Arabidopsis thaliana: one gene and its partners. The protein of the gene in region 1 purifies or fractionates together with the protein of each later gene. This does not show direct contact. Each region holds a gene or a part of one and is shown on either strand. Other genes may lie near its edges. The genes, in order: AT1G76140, LIN2, AT5G48480 and hemf2.

Region 1 (6,012 bases):
GAGAAATATCGAGTTCAATCTTAAAATGGAGTATTTTTCTTAGGCATTATTATGACGTTTTCTTTTGTTATAGTCGGAATGTATACATTTTCTGTATAGTCACACTCACATGTTTCTATAGATGTATTTGATGTAAGTGATCTAAGCTCAGTATTTTCAATTGAGGTATATATATGCTGAGTTATTGTTGTCCTTGCGCTTATTTTGATATTATAGGTACTTTGTTTTTTTCTCTTACATTTATAGTTACGTTATAGTCTTATAGACTATTCCCACATTTTTGTGTTTATTTATATCGGTTGTTGACTAATTAGGTTTTAGATGGTACCAAAATGATTTGCAATTCTATGTGGAAATATGAAAGCAAAACAAGTTTACAATACGACTTTTGCCAAGCTCTTAGCATTGTTACGATTATTGGATTCTAACGTTTTTTTCTTCTTTAGGTAAAATGAGGATTTTAATGTTGAGAAAGTAAGCTTCGGATTTATCATGTAATCGTGATGATATGACATTCGATGACTTGGTAGATATGTATAATCCTCGACGTCTCTGTTGTGCATCTAGCATGGTTTATAGGGGCTCATTAAACAGGGTGTAGATTTATACATTTACCATAAGTTTGAAAAATTACAACTCCACGTCAAAGAGAAAATAAAGAAAATAATAAGAATTCAACAAAAACTTTCCCTAGTAACCTCATCATTGGAAGTGTGTCAGTAGCATTTAAATTATCCTTTCAAGGCAAATCTCCAAACTTTTCTACGCGATTTAACTATGCGCGTGACTCCCAAATTTCCTTTCTCGTTTATTATGTAGGTCAAAGTTGCTTTTATCTTGTAATTTTTTTCTTATGTTCGGTCAATTCACTAAAACTCCAGTAATTATTTATCTGTAGTGTAGCGTATGATTATTATTCTGCAAACTCTGCGTAATAGAGACTTTTTAAAAAACAAATGCAGTAGTCCAAACCTACTTTCTAGAAAGAAAAAGAAAAAATGTTCTTTAGTTTCCCTCCTAAACGGTGAAAAGTCTCTTTGTCGCAATTTGTTTACACATATCCTGATAAAACGAGTTTATTGGGCTTTATGTTGGGCTCGTTTATTCAGCAGGTCTGAACCTCAAAACTATATTATAAAGTTTAAGCCCAAAAGGCTTTAAATATGGTATCAACAACATATGCTTATGCTATGCATCATTTTCGCAAACTATGGTGTTGTATGAATTAGTGGGTTGTTCAAGATGTTTTTTCTTAAGCGAAAACCTATTTATACAGTTTGCAATGGATATAAGCTTTTGCAAAGTCTACAAAAGTCACATCTCACCACAAAAAAAAAAGGTCTACAAAATCACATGTATCTTTGGAAAAGTATCCATGCTTAGATATTTCATATTTCTGATCCAATTATCCAAACAAACATGTCAACAGATAAAATTAAAAAAAAAGCTAATCTTTTCAAAATATACAAGTCAAACTGTCAGAATATAACAATTTAGACTAGTTGATAAAAATATATTTTTGAATAAGAACATTTTAGATTAAATTTTGGTACCATAAAATGTTTGATAGAACGACGAAACCATTTTGACATATTAACGGCAATCTCGGGGAAGAAGAAGAAGCGGTAGAGAGAAAACCGATGCTCACAGCGTTTGCAAGTCACGCGCGTTCTCACGTTTTCGCGTTTGTTACCGTCCCAACAATCACGCGCCGCCTCCGTATAAATATCTTACGCCAATCACCTCTCTCCTCTTCTCTTCTCCTAAACGAAACCTTCTCCAATCGACCCAATTCTGTTTCTCGTCGTTGTTATTGTTCGAGCTCTGCGATAATGGGTTCTTCTTCGGTGTTTGGCGAGCAATTACAGTATCCTGCGACTCGGCGTGATGATTCCGTCGTCGATGACTATCACGGCGTCAAGATCGGAGATCCGTACCGTTGGTAAGAGTTCGTTTCCAGCTGCAATTTCTCTTATTATGCTTTTAGGTTTCCGGATGAGAACGATATTTCCAAATGAGATTTTGAACACATCGCTCTGAGGAATTAGCAGACATTGGATTTGACTTGGAGATTGACCTTGAGAGAAATTCCTAAATTGTTCGTGATTTCGTGTGATTTGTTCATTTTTGCTATGATTTAGCGTTGAATTTGTCATTCTGGATTGTTGCTAGGTTAGAGGATCCTGATGCTGAAGAAGTGAAGGAGTTTGTGCAGAGCCAAGTGAAATTGACAGATTCTGTACTTGAAAAGTGTGAAACAAAGGAGAAGCTCCGTCAGAATATAACGAAACTTATTGATCATCCTCGTTACGATTCACCATTCAGGCAAGGGGATAAGTACTTTTACTTCCATAACACTGGTCTACAGGCTCAAAGTGTGCTTTATATGCAGGTATTTGTTGAGATAAAGGCGTTTGTATCAGTGCATACTCTGTTCTAGCTTTGTTTTCTCATTGAATTTGATTGCATTCGGGTTCAGGATAATCTGGATGCTGAGCCAGAGGTTTTGCTTGATCCGAACACTCTTAGTGATGATGGAACAGTGGCCTTAAACACCTTTTCTGTCAGCGAGGATGCTAAGTACTTGGCCTATGGTCTTAGTTCAAGTGGTAGCGACTGGGTGACGATTAAGCTGATGAAAATCGAGGATAAGAAAGTGGAGCCTGATACTTTATCATGGGTATGGTCTTAAAGATGGTACTGACTAGTGGGGTTGATCAATAAAGTTCTACCGTCCAGATTTCTGATAGATTTATGTTCCTCTCGTGGAACAGGTTAAGTTTACCGGCATTACATGGACGCACGACAGTAAAGGATTTTTCTATGGTCGCTACCCAGCTCCCAAGTAAGTACAAGATGTGTTGGAAGAAGCCTTTCGATATAGTTCAGAAAGCTAAGTTGATTTACCAATTTTATCTGTTTTTGTTTTGCAGAGAAGGAGAGGATATTGATGCTGGCACTGAGACTAATTCTAACCTTTATCATGAGCTGTATTACCATTTCATTGGGACGGATCAATCTCAAGATATCTTATGCTGGAGAGATAATGAGAATCCCAAATATATGTTCGGAGCTGAAGTCACTGACGATGGGAAGGTAACACACCAAGTTCTTATGTTGGTTCTTTAACTATGGTTACGCTCTTAAACCTCAAATTTATTTTTTCTGCGCATACTTACGGAAAATCATTTTGATCGTTTCCCTTTTTCTAAATGATGGTCATGACTTCAAACTGTGTTACCTAGTTTTGTAGATCTGGAACTTGGATTCTTAGTTTTAGGTCTAATCAATGTTATTTCTTCTTGTAGTATCTGATCATGAGCATTGGAGAGAGTTGTGACCCTGTCAACAAATTATACTACTGCGATATGACTTCATTGTCAGGAGGTCTTGAGAGTTTCAGAGGAAGCAGCAGTTTTCTTCCATTCATTAAGCTTGTTGACACATTTGACGCGCAATATAGTGTTATCTCAAATGATGAGACTCTGTTTACTTTCTTGACGAATAAAGATGCCCCTAAGTACAAATTAGTCCGGGTTGATCTAAAGGAACCAAACAGCTGGACTGATGTTGTTGAAGAACACGAAAAGGATGTCTTAGCATCAGCTTGTGCTGTCAATGGGAATCACCTGGTCGCATGCTACATGAGCGATGTAAAGCATATTCTGCAAATTAGGGACTTGAAATCTGGTTCATTGCTTCACCAATTACCTCTAGATATTGGTTCAGTATCTGATGTTTCTGCTCGGCGCAAGGACAATACCTTTTTCTTTAGCTTTACTAGCTTTCTCACTCCTGGTGTGATTTACAAGTGTGACTTAGCCAATGAATCTCCAGAAGTTAAGGTATTCCGGGAGGTTACTGTACCCGGATTTGACAGGGAAGCATTTCAAGCCATTCAGGTAACACACTCTCTTGTAGCGTCTTCCTGTTTCTTTCATAACTACTTTTTACTTTGCATATGTTAAAGTGGTTTCTGCTCCTCTTTATAGGTCTTCTATCCCAGCAAGGATGGAACAAAGATACCTATGTTTATTGTGGCGAAAAAGGATATTAAGCTTGATGGATCACACCCATGTTTGCTCTATGCATATGGTGGGTTTAACATAAGCATAACACCGTCTTTCAGTGCCAGCCGTATTGTGCTTAGCAAGCATCTCGGTGTTGTTTTCTGCTTTGCAAACATTCGGGGTGGTGGGGAGTATGGTGAGGAATGGCACAAAGCAGGTTCACTTGCCAAAAAGCAGAACTGTTTCGATGACTTTATCTCTGGGGCAGAGTATCTCGTGTCCGCTGGTTATACACAACCGAGCAAGCTGTGTATTGAAGGTGGCAGCAATGGTGGACTCCTTGTCGGTGCTTGCATAAATCAGGCAAGTTTATATAGCCAATAATTCAGGACAAAAACGAATAATATGAAGCTAATAATTTGTAATTTTCGTCTCATTTAGTTGCCACACTTATACATAAATTTTCAATTCTGCTGCACAGAGACCGGACCTTTATGGTTGTGCTTTGGCTCATGTGGGCGTCATGGACATGCTACGGTTTCACAAATTCACTATAGGTGAGTGAGTTCAGTTATCTGCAATTTGTTTTGTTTGATTTTTTGCTTAATGTAATTCTAACTTGAGGTGTTATGTATGTATAGGTCATGCCTGGACATCTGATTATGGTTGCTCTGAGAATGAAGAGGAGTTTCATTGGCTGATAAAGTAAGTATATGAACTTATGATATGATGTTGTATTGATTTGTTTCCCAATGCTGATACAAAGTTACAATCTGGGTGTGAATGTATAAAGGTACTCGCCTCTGCACAATGTGAAGAGGCCATGGGAGCAACAAACCGATCACTTAGTTCAGTATCCATCAACTATGCTACTGACTGCTGATCACGATGACAGAGTTGTGCCACTTCACTCTTTGAAGTTGCTTGCTGTCCGTTTCCAGACTTTATTTCTTTAATGTTTAATTTATTTTCAATCTTACCTTAAATAGCCAGCAGATTGTTAAAACTCGTATGTATACATCTGCAGACGTTGCAGCACGTGCTGTGCACAAGCTTAGACAATAGTCCTCAGATGAACCCCATAATTGGTCGTATTGAAGTCAAGGCTGGCCATGGTGCTGGTCGCCCAACCCAAAAGATGGTAATGATTTTAGAAATTCTCGTTGCTTAAGCGTTACATCATATAACATACATTTTCCCATGGTTAACTGATATTGAGATGTTCAACAGATTGATGAAGCGGCTGATCGGTATTCGTTCATGGCAAAGATGGTGAATGCTTCATGGACGGAGTAAAAAAAATTCCTTTATCTACAGGCACCAAATATCTTTTCTCAATATCTTCTGTCCAAACAAGGACGTTGTATGAGTTAGTGACAATTACATGTAAACACATGTTTCAGTTTTTTCTCAGGCTTTATGTTCCAGTTCATTGACACCCAAAAAGGATTTTCTTCAATGCATTTTGCTTCATCCGGCATGTGCATTTTGCGTCACTCAACATTTATTACAACAGTAACACGATACAACTAACCATTTCAGTAAATTGTGACCGTCATCAAAGAGTGTTTATTGATGGCTCAATGGCTCATTACGCCAAGCAAACATCAAGAGTCTTCTGACATGTTTATTACCTTTGCAATATTATGACAGCCCAATATATCTAAGGACCTAACATTCTAAAGTGACGAAGATAACCCACGAATATCAACATAACCAGCTAACACAGTTTTGTTCCTTTCCTTCACTTTCGTCTGATATATAACCCTGTGAATACATCAAAAGCTAAGTTCAAGTTTTGAATATACCAGTGATATGGATAATCTATGTAATATATCGCCAAAGAACAATACAAGGTAGAGAGAGAGACAGAGTTCTACCTCAAGCCTTCAAGCCACATTTCGGTTATCAGAGTTTCGCCAGGAAAAACAGTCGTGAGGAATCGTCCAGATATGGTTTTGACAGCAGTTGGGTCACCCTTGCAAACACACTTGATGATTGC
Region 2 (4,876 bases), about 28 Mb from region 1:
ACATTACTTTTAAGTACACAATTGAAATTCATAGCTAAATAGTTAACATTACTGCTGCAACTCTATATTAATTGTAGAGTTATGGAAAAACAAAAGTACAAACTAAAATAAAGTTCGTTAAACTAGAATTTTACCCCGGAAAATCCACTATTTTTATGATATCTCCTTTACCGGAGTTACACAAATACACTAACCATATGTCTATAGTAATCTTTGTCACATATCAACTCAACCCACTAAAATATAATTCTATCCTCTCTGGTTTGTGTCGTATCATTTATCAACCCTAGTTAGATCAATAATCTCATAATTCCCCAATGCGAGGGCATCATTAGGATTGTTTATCAGTACCATCACATCATCTTTTTCTTGCTCTTGAGTAACGTCACAATCTTCTTGACGTTGTTGTTGTTGTTGTTGTTGTTGTTGTTGTTGAGTAACTTCGCGAGATTATTCTCCATCTAGCATCATCGTCTCAAGGTCATCATTAGCAAAACCGGTTAATTCAGCCTCTTCTGGCTGCTCACGATCTTCATGTCCCTCTAGCATCGTCTCAAGGCTATCAGCAAAACCGGTTAAATCAGCATCTTCTGGCTGCTCATGATCTTCTTGTCCCTCTAGCATCGTCTCAAGGCTATCAGCAAAACCGGTTAAATCAGCCTCTTCTTTCTGCTCACGGTCTTCTTGTCCCTCTAGCATCATCTCAAGCTGATCAGCAAAACCGGTTAAAGCATCCTCTTCTTACACTACTTGGTTCCGTAAGATGTTGTTGGTGTTCTCCGCCACCTGAGTCTGATGAGCCTGATGGTTAACGAGTCCAAACTCGTTGACGTTCGCCTCTTTCTTGTATCGGATCCGACACAAGACAACCTTTTGGAGGTCATCACTCTAGTGAAGAGAATACTCCATCTTCTGTCAATCGGTCTTGACAAGCTTTCCATGCACTCTCCTGTGGTACGTGAAAGACTGCTCGTAACCCATCACCCTTTTGCATGTGTCCGTCCTTGATCTCTTTTTTCCCATCGTTGCTTCTCCAAGTGCCGCCTTCGCTTCCTCCTCTTGCGGCTACCTTCCGGTGTACGCTTAATATCTTGCCACCTCGTTCAGTAAGCGGAACAAAGTAGTACCACTCGTTGTTATTGAACAAAGGATTGTTTACGTGAGGAAGAAGCCAAGGGTAGTCTTGGTGGATGTCCATAGTTGTTATGAAACTGCTCTGATTTCTCTCCACCTTGTTTCGAAGATAAAGCCTCACCAACCCTAGATCCGTCGGACAAAACCGTGATCCAACCGGAAGAATCTTCATATCGATCGTATAGATTCGAAGAAGAACTAGCTAAGGTACCTATATAATTGCTAAGGTTAAAAGTGCTCTTTCGTCTCTTGTGTAATACTGCTCTGTGAAGCAGGGTTTTCTTGAATTCCTCGCAGGTCAAGCGGCTGAACTCTCTATATGATCATGAATATATAGACAACGTGATGGGCCCAACCGGATTTTCTTTTGTCAGCGATTAACTATTTTTTGGAAAGAATAAGACGGTTGTAATTACATCTATTTGGTTATTTGAAATAATAATTAGATAGGATTCGAATCTATAATACACTTTTGTTTTGTTTATCACAGATTCTAACGATAGATAAAGATATATTACATGACCATGATTTATCCACATCAAAATAGCATAGTGCCGTAAACCGGCTAATCGTTTTGGGCCTAATTTGGGCAATTAAGCCCGTTAAGAAGGATAAGAGCCTATTGTGTATCAATATCTTCGGTTCGACCAAATTAAACCGCAATTTTAATTTCGTGTCTGGTTTGGTTTCGGCTAAATAATTCAGAAGTGGTTTAGTCTGAGAAGACTGGAACTGTGTTTTCTTTTACCTTGAGCTGTTAAATAAAAAGGAAGAGCGGTCAAAATCAGTGGACGACGAAGACTTCTTATCATTTAATATCTCTCCATCATCATCTTCTTCTTCAGCATCAAATCCAAATTCGGATCAAACATGGCTTCTCACTCGTCGACTCTCCTCTCTTCTCCTACTTTCGCTCCTTTCTCCTCTCATCGTCTTCATTATTCTCCCAATCCCTCTACTCTCAGATTCTCCCGTCCAATCAGAAATAAACCTAATCTCGCCTTGCGATGTTCAGTCTCAATTGAGAAAGAAGTTCCCGAAACTGAACGACCCTTTACTTTCCTTAGGGATTCTGATGACGTCACTCCATCTTCTTCTTCTTCTTCCGTCAGGGCTCGTTTCGAGACTATGATTAGGGCTGCTCAAGACAGTGTTTGTGATGCAATTGAAGCTATAGAAGGCGGTCCTAAGTTTAAAGAAGATGTTTGGTCTCGACCTGGTGGTGGCGGTGGAATCAGTCGTGTGTTGCAGGACGGGAATGTCTTTGAGAAAGCTGGTGTTAATGTCTCTGTGGTTTATGGTGTTATGCCTCCTGAAGCTTATAGAGCTGCAAAGGGCTCAGCTTCTGATCAGAAACCTGGTCCTGTTCCGTTCTTCGCTGCTGGAGTCAGCTCGGTAATGAATCTCTCCCTTCAATTTTACGATTCTTGGAGGTTCTCATGTTTTATCATTACGGATTTCTGTGTGATTCTAGGTTTTGCATCCCAAGAACCCTTTTGCCCCAACCCTGCATTTCAATTATCGCTATTTCGAGACAGATGCTCCAAAGGGTAAAAAAGCTAAAGTCTCAGTGAGATTGTAAAGTTGTTGTCTTTTGTTTGGACAACAGTCTTAAGTTTTTAATTTTCAACGGCGCAGATGTTCCTGGAGCTCCAAGGCAATGGTGGTTTGGTGGTGGCACTGATTTCACTCCTGCTTACATCTTTGAAGAAGATGTCAAGCATTTCCATTCGGTACTGAGCCTTATTCCTTGTTCTAAAGATATGAGCTTTGTGATCATGGAGTTGCTTTTATATAAACTGCTCTTTGTTGTTGTAGATTCAAAAGCAAGCCTGTGACAAATTTGACCCTTCCTTCTATCCCCGATTCAAGAAGTGGTGTGATGACTACTTTTACATCAAGGTAAGTTTTGTGAGATCCTGAAGCATTTTCTGGAACTGAGGGCCTTATTCTTTGAGTTGTGTTTAGGGATGTTATAGTCAAATCTGAGAGGGTAGAAACTGCTTAGAGAGACGTTCAGAAGCCTATTGTTAGTGTGAGGGCTTTGAAAACTTTTCTTAGAAATCTTTGATTTTGCTTGCAGCACCGTGATGAGAGACGAGGACTTGGAGGGATATTTTTTGATGATCTTAATGACTATGATCAGGAAATGCTTCTGTCATTTGCCACTGGTAAGGGACTGATTGTCCTCAATCTACAACAAACGATTTATTTTAATTGGTCTAGTTTCTTGGTAGACTAATTTAGCAATTGGTGTTTACAGAATGCGCAAACTCAGTGGTGCCGGCTTATATACCTATAGTAGAGAAAAGGAAAGACATGGAATTTACAGAGCAGCACAAGGCATGGCAACAGTTGCGACGAGGGCGATATGTCGAATTCAACTTGGTACTATGACCAAAACATTAGTCTTTTTCTCTGTTCTCACTCTCATCTCTCCAATCTTTCGTTATGAACCTTGTTCACTAATGTATTTGTAATGATGGATGGAAGGTATATGATCGGGGAACGACATTTGGTCTGAAGACAGGAGGACGAATAGAGAGCATTCTCGTCTCTCTTCCGCTTTCAGCAAGATGGGAATATGACCATGTAAGTTCTTTCCTCATTTGTGAAGAAACTTGGTCTAAATTCAATTGAATATGGCAATGTAGTAATGGTGTTTGTGAGTGCAGAAACCGGAAGAGGGGACCGAAGAGTGGAAGCTATTGGATGCTTGCATCAACCCGAAGGAGTGGATCTAGCCTGTGTTTCCCATTGTTGTGAGAAGAGTGAGTTTATTTCCATTGTTTCATGTAAGTTTTGAGCAGCTTTAGAGGATTAGATAACTGGAGAGATGGAGAAAGAGAGTGTGTAAGGTCAGGTCAAAATCTAGTCTTGTGATGTGCATGTTAACATCATCTCCTTTCTCTCTTTGCGATGGCAATGAAGACAAACTAAGAGCAGTGTTGTTAAAAGTCAAAACTTACCAATGCAAACAGTTGGTTTCTTGCAAGTTTTGAGCAGCTTTAGAGGATTAGATTACTGAAAAGAAAGTTATACTCTAGCCTTGTGATGTGCATGTTAACATGCGTCTGTTACGCTGTCGTTTCGTTTCTTTCTTTTGCCAATGGCAACGAAGACAACTTGTGCATTCAACTTTTTCACAAGTGACATGCTTATCTACGGACTCTAATCCAAATCCATATCCTCCTTAAGAACCCAAAACAAAAACTTATTGCTCAAAGTGTTGAAATCTGAGCTTTTCCAAAGAGAAGAAACAGTGATCAGCCCAGCCTAATGTAAGCCATTAGGCCTCTTAGTATTTTTTTTTTTTTTTTTTTTTGTCATCAAGCCTCTTAGTGTTAGCTGTCATAATTTCCTTTTTTTTTCATCTCTCTCGTTATTACGCCCTGAATCATTTAATAATCCCCAAATAAAGCAATAAATTTCTATTTTTTGTTTGTTTGTACAGAATTCTATGCAAATCAGTGTATTTTTTTTATGTAGAAATAGTGCTTAACGCCTGTAAGTGTTAATCAATACTTTAATCTATAAATAGGGTACAAATTTAAAATTATTCAAAGACAATAACATCCTTAAAAAGAAAAAAAATAGATTCACTTGTCTTATTGTAAAAAGAGCTAATAATGAAACAAAGCCAAATGAAGAACTAAATATGAGGTTCATCAATTTTTTATATTTACTTTAATATTTTATTTTTCCCGACTACTTTAATGTTTTTTGTCTTATTCATTACACA
Region 3 (4,675 bases), on another chromosome or scaffold:
AAAAACAGTAATTGTAGTTGAAAAACGATTAGATGGTGAAAAAGTATCAACTATAAAAATACATATATTAAATCCACTAAACCATTTCGTAGACCAAATAATCATCTCGTATGTGCCATGCTTATGAGTTTATCACTAATTACACTAATAGGACTGAAATTCTCAAAGAAAATAAAACATTTATTTGAAAATAGAACAGCAAAAAAATTGAGAATCTAGAGATTTGGATTTATTCTTCGTTCTATATTTTGTCCCGTTTATATACTAACTGATGTTCTCATTTGTTTTGTGGTTAAAGTAGCTAACTGTTGTTGACACTTAACAGTAATACTCGCTAACTGTTTTATTTTCGTAATTTGTGAAACTTCTTAGAGTACTCTTACTTGGGCTCATATCAGGCCCAGTATTTTGCGGATGTTTATTAATGTGTTTTTTTTCGATTAAAAGAGAATTTTATATACAAATACAATGTGCAAGTTGAATTTTCTTTTTCCATTTGTAGTAAAAGATTTGTGGACTGGAAATTGTGTAATCGATACTTGATAATTGATAAGAATCCGAAAGCTTATGATTCTATGACAAAAGACCCTCTCCCAAAAGTAAAGTGGAAAAACACATCCCCGTGACTATATGGAGCAATCCAATCTGGTTCACGGGTTTCTCTAAAACTTGATATATATACACCTTCTCATGCACATTCATTTCAACACCACAAACACAAACAAACATATAGAAAAAGAGAGAGGAGGATAATAATATGGCGAGCAAGAAAGCAGCTATGGTTATGATGGCGATGATCGTGATAATGGCTATGTTGGTCGATACATCAGTAGCGATAGATCTCTGCGGCATGAGCCAGGATGAGTTGAATGAGTGCAAACCAGCGGTTAGCAAGGAGAATCCGACGAGCCCATCACAGCCTTGCTGCACCGCTCTGCAACACGCTGATTTTGCATGTCTTTGTGGTTACAAGAACTCTCCATGGCTCGGTTCTTTCGGTGTTGATCCTGAACTCGCTTCTGCTCTCCCCAAACAGTGTGGTCTAGCCAACGCCCCAACTTGTTAAAAGACTCTGTATACGTGTGTTTATGTTTTTTATTACTCCTATTCTAAATATCGGATGTTATTAATAAATCGTATTTTCTGCCAAATGGCGTTTATGGGTTAACCCCAAAAACTGGTCAAAAGAAAAGAAAGAGGACCAATCGAAAACTACACAAGGCCCAAACACGGAAGGGCAATTTCGAAAAATATGTAACCAATAAGCGATAGAGAGAAACCACAAAGCACAAATACAGAGGTTTATGGTTTCACTACCTCTGACACAGTATTCAACACTCTGACACCAAAACAACAAATATTCTTAATTCCGTCTTATCTAATCACTAACCATTTCATTTTCATTCCAAATAGACGATTATACCCTTAGTACTAAACCAACAAAAATGACAAAGAACACAGATTAAACACAGAACGATTATAGAAGATAGATAGAGAAGCGAAATCATCAACAAAACATAATATAGCCCGAGATTAATATGCAATTTCACCAAGATTAGAGTTTGTCAAAAGGGGTGAAATTAGAATCCGAAAGTCATTAGCCTACTCGATCCGGTTTACTGATTACCGGATTCCACAAAAGACAAAATAAAAGCATAAACCTAGGATAATAGATAGTTTTTTTTGTTCAGAAACCGACGAAGAATTAGATCCGACGACAGATTCTAAACCTCTTTGTTCTCGTCGGTGATCACGGTCTTCTTCTCCGCGAAGATCCAAGTGACACCAAAAGGATCCGTAACTTTTCCTTTGAATCCCAGTTCAACTTCTGCCTCCGTAACCTCCACTTTCACAGCTCCGGCGTCAACAGCTTTCGCAACGGCGGCTTCAGCATCCTTAGTTCCGAGAAGAAAAGTCACTCCCGAACCTTCCGATTTCGCACTGTTTAACGATTTAAAAAAGAAACAAAACCACATAAGTAAACAGTAATCGTATTTAAGAAAAGGCACAATCATCCACTTAAAATAGTTTTTTAAGCGTTATAAAAGTTTCCAAAAACTATTCATTTCAAAAACCTAAATCCAGATCTAAAACGAACAAAAAAATCGTGTTTAAGGGAGAGGAATAACTTCTAAACATGATTTATTCTCCAGATTTCTTCTAATAAAACAACCTAAAACCAGATCTAAAACGAAATCAAACACTAAACGAACAAAAACCTAAAAAAAAAACAGAAAACATGGAGATCTAGAAGCTAAACACCAAAACGAGAGAGAGAGACTTACGTAGAAAAACCAGGGAGAGAGGAAACGTCGCAAACAACGAAGGAAGAGCCAGCGAGATTAAGCTCAGAAGAGAGAACATGAGGAAGCTCTTGGTCAAGCTTACGCTTAGGGTAAAGAGAATGACCAGACTCGATCGCACCAAAAGCAGATTTGTAGAAAGTAACAGCGTCACCGACCTTTTGAGCTTCAACGAGCAACATCTGCTTGAACTCAGTGAAGACAAGATGCGTCTCCACCGGACCAGCACCGTTAGTAGCAACAGCAGTAACATCTTCTTGAGCCATCGCAGAGAGAAAATAAAACTTTGAGAAGAGAGATTCGTTTACGGTTAAGAGAGAAATGAAAATTGCGTGTGAAAGAACAATCTAGAGACGATGAGTGAGATATTTATGAAGGAAGCGGAGAAGCGGAATCGTTTCGTGTAACCTGACGAGGATTTCAAATGGATATAACAATTGCTCTCACGTCCGTGGATTTTTACCCTTACTTTTTGATTTATTTACGTGAATATGCCCCTACTAATCACTTTTCATTTACTACCCTATAGGACTCGTGTCTCGTTCGCATGTCTCCTCTATTAAACCGTTGGAAAGAAATCAATTAAAATTGGTTACTCGAATATTTTAATCTTTGTTATATACTGTGTCATCAAATATTTTAGTTTGTTATCATTGTGTAACTCTGAATGGTACACATAGGACAAAAGTTACGATTTTATTTTTTCCCATCCGTTTCGAATGGGTTTAAAGATATGTTAATATCACTACCATTATTCTTTTTTTTCTTCTATCCCTTTCCAATTTTATTTTACGTCACATGTAACTTTTGAGGTTTAATGGATGTGCATAGTTTAGTAGAGAGACATTATATGTCATATCAACCAACCAAATTACAAATTATATACCGATCAAGATTATTTCAGGACGCAATCTCTACCTGCGAGTCTTTCTTGATGTAACAAAAGATATTACTAATAAGCGATTTCTTCAAGAACTTGGAGGGTTTTTTGGTGAACCTGTGAACAGAAATAAACTATGATGAATGCAAAGAAACGAGACTTTGGTTGCAAATGTTTTGGTGTTATGAGGAACTTACCCATTCTAGATGTTGTGCTGTTATCCCGGAGGCATTACCCGAGTATATACTTCCCAGTACCTATCAAGATTGGATTTAAACATCACATAAAAAAGTGGTCAATGTTCTCTATTACTATCATCTGTTGAACATAGGGGATCGAGGAATGTTGGAAACATACCTTTGTGACAGTTTCTAGAAACATTCCTGGTCTTACTGGTAACGGTTTTCTTCCTGTAACGCTTCCCTGAGATCGCATCAAGTAGGCCAAGTAAGAAAAGAAGACATATCTTTGGTTCAGAGCCTACTGAAAAAGTCTTCTCTTTTAACAAAACAATGTGTCACTTGATCATACTTACCCTTCCATTTAATCCACTTGGTTTTCTTCCTTCGGTAGAAGAATCGTCTTCTTTGCTAAGATTATCTGCGCCTTCATCTTTCCCTTGCATTACATTCTGGATCATCTGCTGCACAGTCTTTCCAGGTTTCAAAGCTACCAATTTGGCTAAGAAATTCACCTGTTTGACGATCAAGCAACAAGTCACTGTATCTCAATGTTTAAAAAATGTTCACAAACACAGCATCATGGACATAATAGTTTGTCACACAAACCTCTGATTCAGGAAGAGTAGTGAAACCTCGGTCATTTCTTTCATCAAGTATACCTCCTCCCATCATGTTCCGGGCTTCCTCTCTAATCAAAACAAGCCTCGCTAGTAGTTTTCGATCCGGAATAGCTGGCCTTGTTTCCATAGTCTGCAAAAATCCTCAGACTTGTTCACATTCTCAAACTATCTCAAATACAGATTGATATCTATACTTAAACAAACACAAGTACCTCTAGCAAGTCATCAGCTTGATTAGCTATGTCATTCAGATTTGCTCCGGGTATATGAAGTTTAGTACCGTTCTCACTTTCAAAAGCCCCACCACCTGCAGCCACCCTACGCAGAAGCTCATGTCTACTTTCCTTTTTCGGGGTTCTACAGAGTAAACCAATCACCTGGACCTAAATATGGAGCAACACTTACACAAAATTAAAAACATGAAATGAAGCTAATGAAAAATTTAGAAAGTAAGAAGAAACTAATCTTAATATTACTCACATGAGGAGGGCATTTCTTGGTGAGATGAGATAAGACAGTCTCCTTGACGACCTCTAGTAAAGACTTTCTCTGAATCCAAAACAAAAATTCTTTAATCCTTTGTCCCAGCTTATGCTACAGAACTAATGGCAAGACTAACAACAGCCATAAAATCCAGAGAACATGTAATATTTGCTACACTACATTGCAAAAGCAATTCTAGCTATCCTG
Region 4 (4,121 bases), on another chromosome or scaffold:
TCAAAGTTTAGCCTCTCTGTTGAGAAGTATCAGGAGATATTAGGTGAATGCCGAAGAAAGCTTTTCGATGTCAGATTGAAGCGACCTAAGCCGCATCTAGATGATAAGGTAATACTCTTCTTGGAATTCTCATGTTGTCTTCTCTACTGTTTCTTCAGATTTGTTAACCATTTAAGATTTCTTTCATAGATAATCGTGTCTTGGAACGGTCTTGTTATCTCGTCTTTCGCAAGAGCTTCCAAGATTCTTAAGGCTGAGCCTGAAAGCACCAAATATTATTTCCCTGTGGTGAATAGTCAGGTAATGAATGCTACACCCTTTCCTTTAATTTCTTCTTTGACCGTTTTGTAATTAGAAGACTCATTTTTCAGCCAGAGGATTACATAGAGGTTGCAGAGAAAGCAGCTTTGTTTATCAGAGGAAATCTCTATGATGAGCAGTCTCGCAGATTACAACACAGTTACAGACAGGGGCCATCCAAAGCTCCTGCCTTCTTAGACGATTATGCTTTCTTGATCTCTGGTTTACTCGATCTTTACGAGAATGGAGGTGGGATCGAATGGCTTAAGTGGGCGATTAAACTTCAAGAAACACAGGCAAGTGAGATCTTTACTAGCTCGATTTGTTAAAGTTCTTGATTTTGGCTAAAAAAGTTAAAAACATTTTAGGATGAGTTATATCTGGACCGAGAAGGAGGAGCATACTTCAATACTGAAGGACAAGACCCATCGGTTCTTCTTCGTGTAAAAGAAGATCATGATGGTGCAGAACCTTCAGGGAACTCTGTTTCTGCTATCAATCTTGTGAGGTTAGCTTCCATAGTCGCCGGAGAAAAAGCTGAATCCTACCTCAACACGGCACATCGTCTCCTGGTAAACAAACAAACAACTAATCCCATTTGCTATTCATAGAAAGAGATTATTGAGTCTCTTTGTTGTTGTTTTTGCAGGCAGTCTTTGAGTTGAGGTTAAGAGAACTGGCGGTGGCTGTGCCATTAATGTGCTGCTCCGCAGATATGATCTCTGTTCCGTCGAGGAAACAAGTTGTATTGGTTGGTTCTAAGTCTTCCCCAGAGCTTACCAACATGCTTTCTGCAGCACATTCAGTCTATGATCCTAATAAAACGGTAAGAGCTTAAAAAATTATCCAAATTTCTAGATTCAAGATTTGTGACTTTTGGTGGTTTTACTGAGCAGGTGATTCACATAGATCCCTCTAGTTCTGATGAAATCGAGTTTTGGGAAGAGCATAACAGTAATGTAGCTGAGATGGCTAAGAAGAACAGAAACTCAGAGAAAGTGGTGGCTCTTGTTTGTCAACACTTCACTTGCAGTCCTCCTGTCTTTGACTCTTCTTCTCTCACTCGCTTGCTTTCCAAGTAAACAAAGATCATTCCATGTTTAATAGTTGCTTGTACTGTAAGGAACAGATCAACGTTGTTCTCTCTGTTACAGTCTTACAGAGTAGATAAATAAAGAAGAGAACTAAACCGAGTATGAGGTTTTTTGGTTGAACTAAACCGGAAATAACCGGGTTTGGTTTGGTTAAAAAAACAGAGCTTTGACGATTCCTTATCATCTTCTATCTTCAGCAAAAAGGTGAAAACTTGGATTCGATCGATCGCTGAAAATGGCGTCTCACTCTTCGACTCTCTTCACTTCTCCTTCTTCCTTCATTCTCTTCTCTTCTCATCGTCTCAAATCTTCTCCGAATTACTTCACTTACCACTTTCCTCGTTCCGTAAAGAGACCACATTTCGACTTGCGATGCTCAGTCTCAATCGAGAAAGAAGTTCCGGAAACAGAAAGACCTTTCACTTTCCTCAGAGTCTCCGACGGCGATCAAACTCAATCTTCTTCTTATTCGGTTAGGGCTCGTTTCGAGAAAATGATAAGAACTGCTCAAGATAAAGTCTGTGAAGCCATTGAAGCAGTCGAAGAAGGTCCTAAATTCAAGGAAGATGTTTGGTCTCGACCCGGTGGAGGTGGTGGAATCAGTCGTATTTTGCAAGACGGAAATGTATGGGAGAAAGCTGGAGTTAATGTCTCTGTGATTTATGGTGTTATGCCTCCTGAAGCTTATAGAGCTGCTAAAGCTGCCACGTCTGAGCAAAAACCTGGTCCGATTCCGTTCTTTGCCGCTGGAACCAGCTCGGTGAGTTCTCTCTCTCTCTCTCTATCAGTCGACATTGCTGTTGATATGGTCTCTGAGTTCTTTGATTGAGCTTGATCCTACATTCTAGGTTTTGCATCCTCAGAACCCTTTTGCTCCGACTCTGCATTTCAATTACCGCTATTTCGAGACCGATGCTCCAAAGGGTAAGACCTTAATCCTCTTTGAGAAGTGTAAAGTTCCAATTTTTTGGTTGGATGAAGCATTTGATTTCATCACTTGTAGATGTTCCTGGAGCTCCGAGGCAATGGTGGTTCGGTGGTGGGACTGACTTCACACCTGCTTACATCTTTGAAGAAGACGTCAAGCACTTTCATTCGGTCGTTAAACCTGATCCATTGTTCTGAAAGTTTGAAGCTTTGTGATTATGGAGATGCTGATTGAAATATCTTTCTTTGTGTAGGTTTAAAAGCAAGCCTGCGATAAATTTGATCCGTCGTTCTACCCTTGGTTTAAGAAATGGTGTGATGACTACTTTTACATTAAGGTCTGCAGTTCCTTTAACGCTATTCTGATTGTTTGGTGAGATCTTAGCACTTTGTGGAACTAAAAGACCTTAGTTTTAGAGTCATGTATGTGCAAGAATAGATTTAGAGCCTCAAGGTTTTGTTTAGGTTGATACAGTGATAAGTTGTCGCCTAGGATTTGAAAACACTAAAAACTTTACGGTCTTGCCTGCAGCACCGTGATGAGAGGCGAGGGCTTGGAGGGATATTTTTTGATGATTTGAATGACTATGATCAAGAGATGCTTCTGTCATTCGCCACTGGTAGTGACCAAGATATAACTTGTGACATTTTGTTTTAAGAAACTTCCTAGTTGACTTATTTGAATACTGAGATGAATTTTGCAGAATGTGCAAGCTCAGTGATACCAGCTTCTATACCCATAGTAGAGAAACGTAAAGACACACCATTTAACGAGCAACACAAGGCATGGCAACAGCTGCGAAGGGGCAGATATGTTGAATTCAACTTCGTAATTGGATACTACTAGCTTTGTTTTTCTTTCTGTATAAATATCTCTTGAAACCTCGTCTCATGTTTTGTTGCTGATGGTAAAAATAAAGGTGTATGACCGCGGAACAACATTTGGTCTGAAGACTGGAGGACGAATAGAGAGTATCCTTGTCTCTCTTCCGCTATCTGCGAGATGAGAATATGACCATGTAAAGTTTCTTGATTCAAGAAACTAAATCTTGTTTCATCTTAGCTAATGAAACTTAACTACTGATGGTGTTTGTCTCTTGTTGCGGATGCAGAAACCTGAAGAAGGAACTGAGGAATGGAAACTATTAGATGCTTGTATCAATCCAAAAGAGTGGCTTTAGTTAATTAATTGTGGTTATTTCCCCAATTAGCTCTTTTATTAGTTTTGTCTTTAAAAGCCTTAAAAGAGTAAAGAGTCTAATGAAAAGTGAGTGAGATAAAGAAATTGTAATTTGGCGTCATCTCATCATGAGTCACTGACAAACAAAGATCATGATGGTTGATGATGGAGTATATAGTACCAATCGTGATGATGATGATAAAAGTAATTAACTTTTAATTTTTTTTACTGACACAGTAAAAATAAGAGCCGTTGGCTCAAATAGCCGAGCCTCTCGGTGCACGCACGCATGCCACTTGCTCGGTAACTGTTCACTAGACAGAACACAACAACACTCAAATAGAGTGATAACATTGAATCTGATGATTTGGTTTAGTATAAAAATCGTTTCCAAGTTTCAACGAGTGGGACTTGTGTTAGGTTAAACAATTTCGGATTAAGTAAACGTCACTGTCTCATTTGTCTTGATACAAGAAACGCCCGTGATATTTTTTCTTCGATGTCGTCCAATGGGGACAAAGAAACAATTTAGTCCCCGGATATACACACACACACACAAATAATACATGGGTGTTGTTATTATGGCTTACCTTACACAACACAACTTGCCAATGTTTTTA

The links.
Region 2: the proteins of AT1G76140 (region 1) and LIN2 fractionate together in Arabidopsis thaliana (co-fractionation; one large-scale study listed by BioGRID). This does not show direct contact.
Region 3: the proteins of AT1G76140 (region 1) and AT5G48480 fractionate together in Arabidopsis thaliana (co-fractionation; one large-scale study listed by BioGRID). This does not show direct contact.
Region 4: the proteins of AT1G76140 (region 1) and hemf2 fractionate together in Arabidopsis thaliana (co-fractionation; one large-scale study listed by BioGRID). This does not show direct contact.

What each region holds. Positions count from the first base shown.
Region 1 is NC_003070.9:28,569,547-28,575,558, forward strand, and holds AT1G76140 (Prolyl oligopeptidase family protein), read left to right. Parts: upstream 1-1,583; 5' UTR 1,584-1,640; coding exon 1,641-1,942; intron 1,943-2,172; coding exon 2,173-2,392; intron 2,393-2,479; coding exon 2,480-2,680; intron 2,681-2,774; coding exon 2,775-2,845; intron 2,846-2,933; coding exon 2,934-3,096; intron 3,097-3,308; coding exon 3,309-3,902; intron 3,903-3,992; coding exon 3,993-4,373; intron 4,374-4,491; coding exon 4,492-4,567; intron 4,568-4,651; coding exon 4,652-4,715; intron 4,716-4,803; coding exon 4,804-4,939; intron 4,940-5,037; coding exon 5,038-5,151; intron 5,152-5,193; exon of another isoform or gene 5,194-5,240; coding exon 5,241-5,306; 3' UTR 5,307-5,490; downstream 5,491-6,012. Other genes in the region: ECH2 (enoyl-CoA hydratase 2), read right to left, coding at 5,690-5,777, 5,891-6,012.
Region 2 is NC_003070.9:868,304-873,179, reverse strand, and holds LIN2 (Coproporphyrinogen III oxidase), read left to right. Parts: upstream 1-1,871; 5' UTR 1,872-2,004; coding exon 2,005-2,529; intron 2,530-2,608; coding exon 2,609-2,684; intron 2,685-2,772; coding exon 2,773-2,867; intron 2,868-2,952; coding exon 2,953-3,036; intron 3,037-3,217; coding exon 3,218-3,305; intron 3,306-3,397; coding exon 3,398-3,522; intron 3,523-3,627; coding exon 3,628-3,726; intron 3,727-3,809; coding exon 3,810-3,878; 3' UTR 3,879-4,327; downstream 4,328-4,876. Other genes in the region: NAC006 (NAC domain containing protein 6), read right to left, coding at 274-440, 498-735, 787-888, 968-1,306. UniProt on the Arabidopsis thaliana protein: Key enzyme in heme biosynthesis. Catalyzes the oxidative decarboxylation of propionic acid side chains of rings A and B of coproporphyrinogen III.
Region 3 is NC_003076.8:19,642,708-19,647,382, reverse strand, and holds AT5G48480 (Lactoylglutathione lyase / glyoxalase I family protein), read right to left. Parts: upstream 2,845-4,675; 5' UTR 2,570-2,844; coding exon 2,286-2,569; intron 1,942-2,285; coding exon 1,725-1,941; 3' UTR 1,067-1,724; coding exon of another isoform or gene 758-1,066; 3' UTR 543-757; downstream 1-542. Other genes in the region: DIR1 (Bifunctional inhibitor/lipid-transfer protein/seed storage 2S albumin superfamily protein), read left to right, coding at 758-1,066; AT5G48470 (uncharacterized protein), read right to left, coding at 3,256-3,300, 3,381-3,440, 3,541-3,606, 3,719-3,877, 3,972-4,115, 4,198-4,368, 4,466-4,534.
Region 4 is NC_003075.7:1,411,185-1,415,305, forward strand, and holds hemf2 (Coproporphyrinogen III oxidase), read left to right. Parts: upstream 1-1,600; 5' UTR 1,601-1,629; coding exon 1,630-2,154; intron 2,155-2,242; coding exon 2,243-2,318; intron 2,319-2,397; coding exon 2,398-2,519; 3' UTR 2,520-2,575; coding exon of another isoform or gene 2,576-2,581; 3' UTR 2,582-3,340; intron 3,341-3,433; 3' UTR 3,434-3,598; downstream 3,599-4,121. Other genes in the region: AT4G03200 (catalytics), read left to right, coding at 1-108, 190-300, 372-596, 669-872, 950-1,126, 1,197-1,382. UniProt on the Arabidopsis thaliana protein: Key enzyme in heme biosynthesis. Catalyzes the oxidative decarboxylation of propionic acid side chains of rings A and B of coproporphyrinogen III.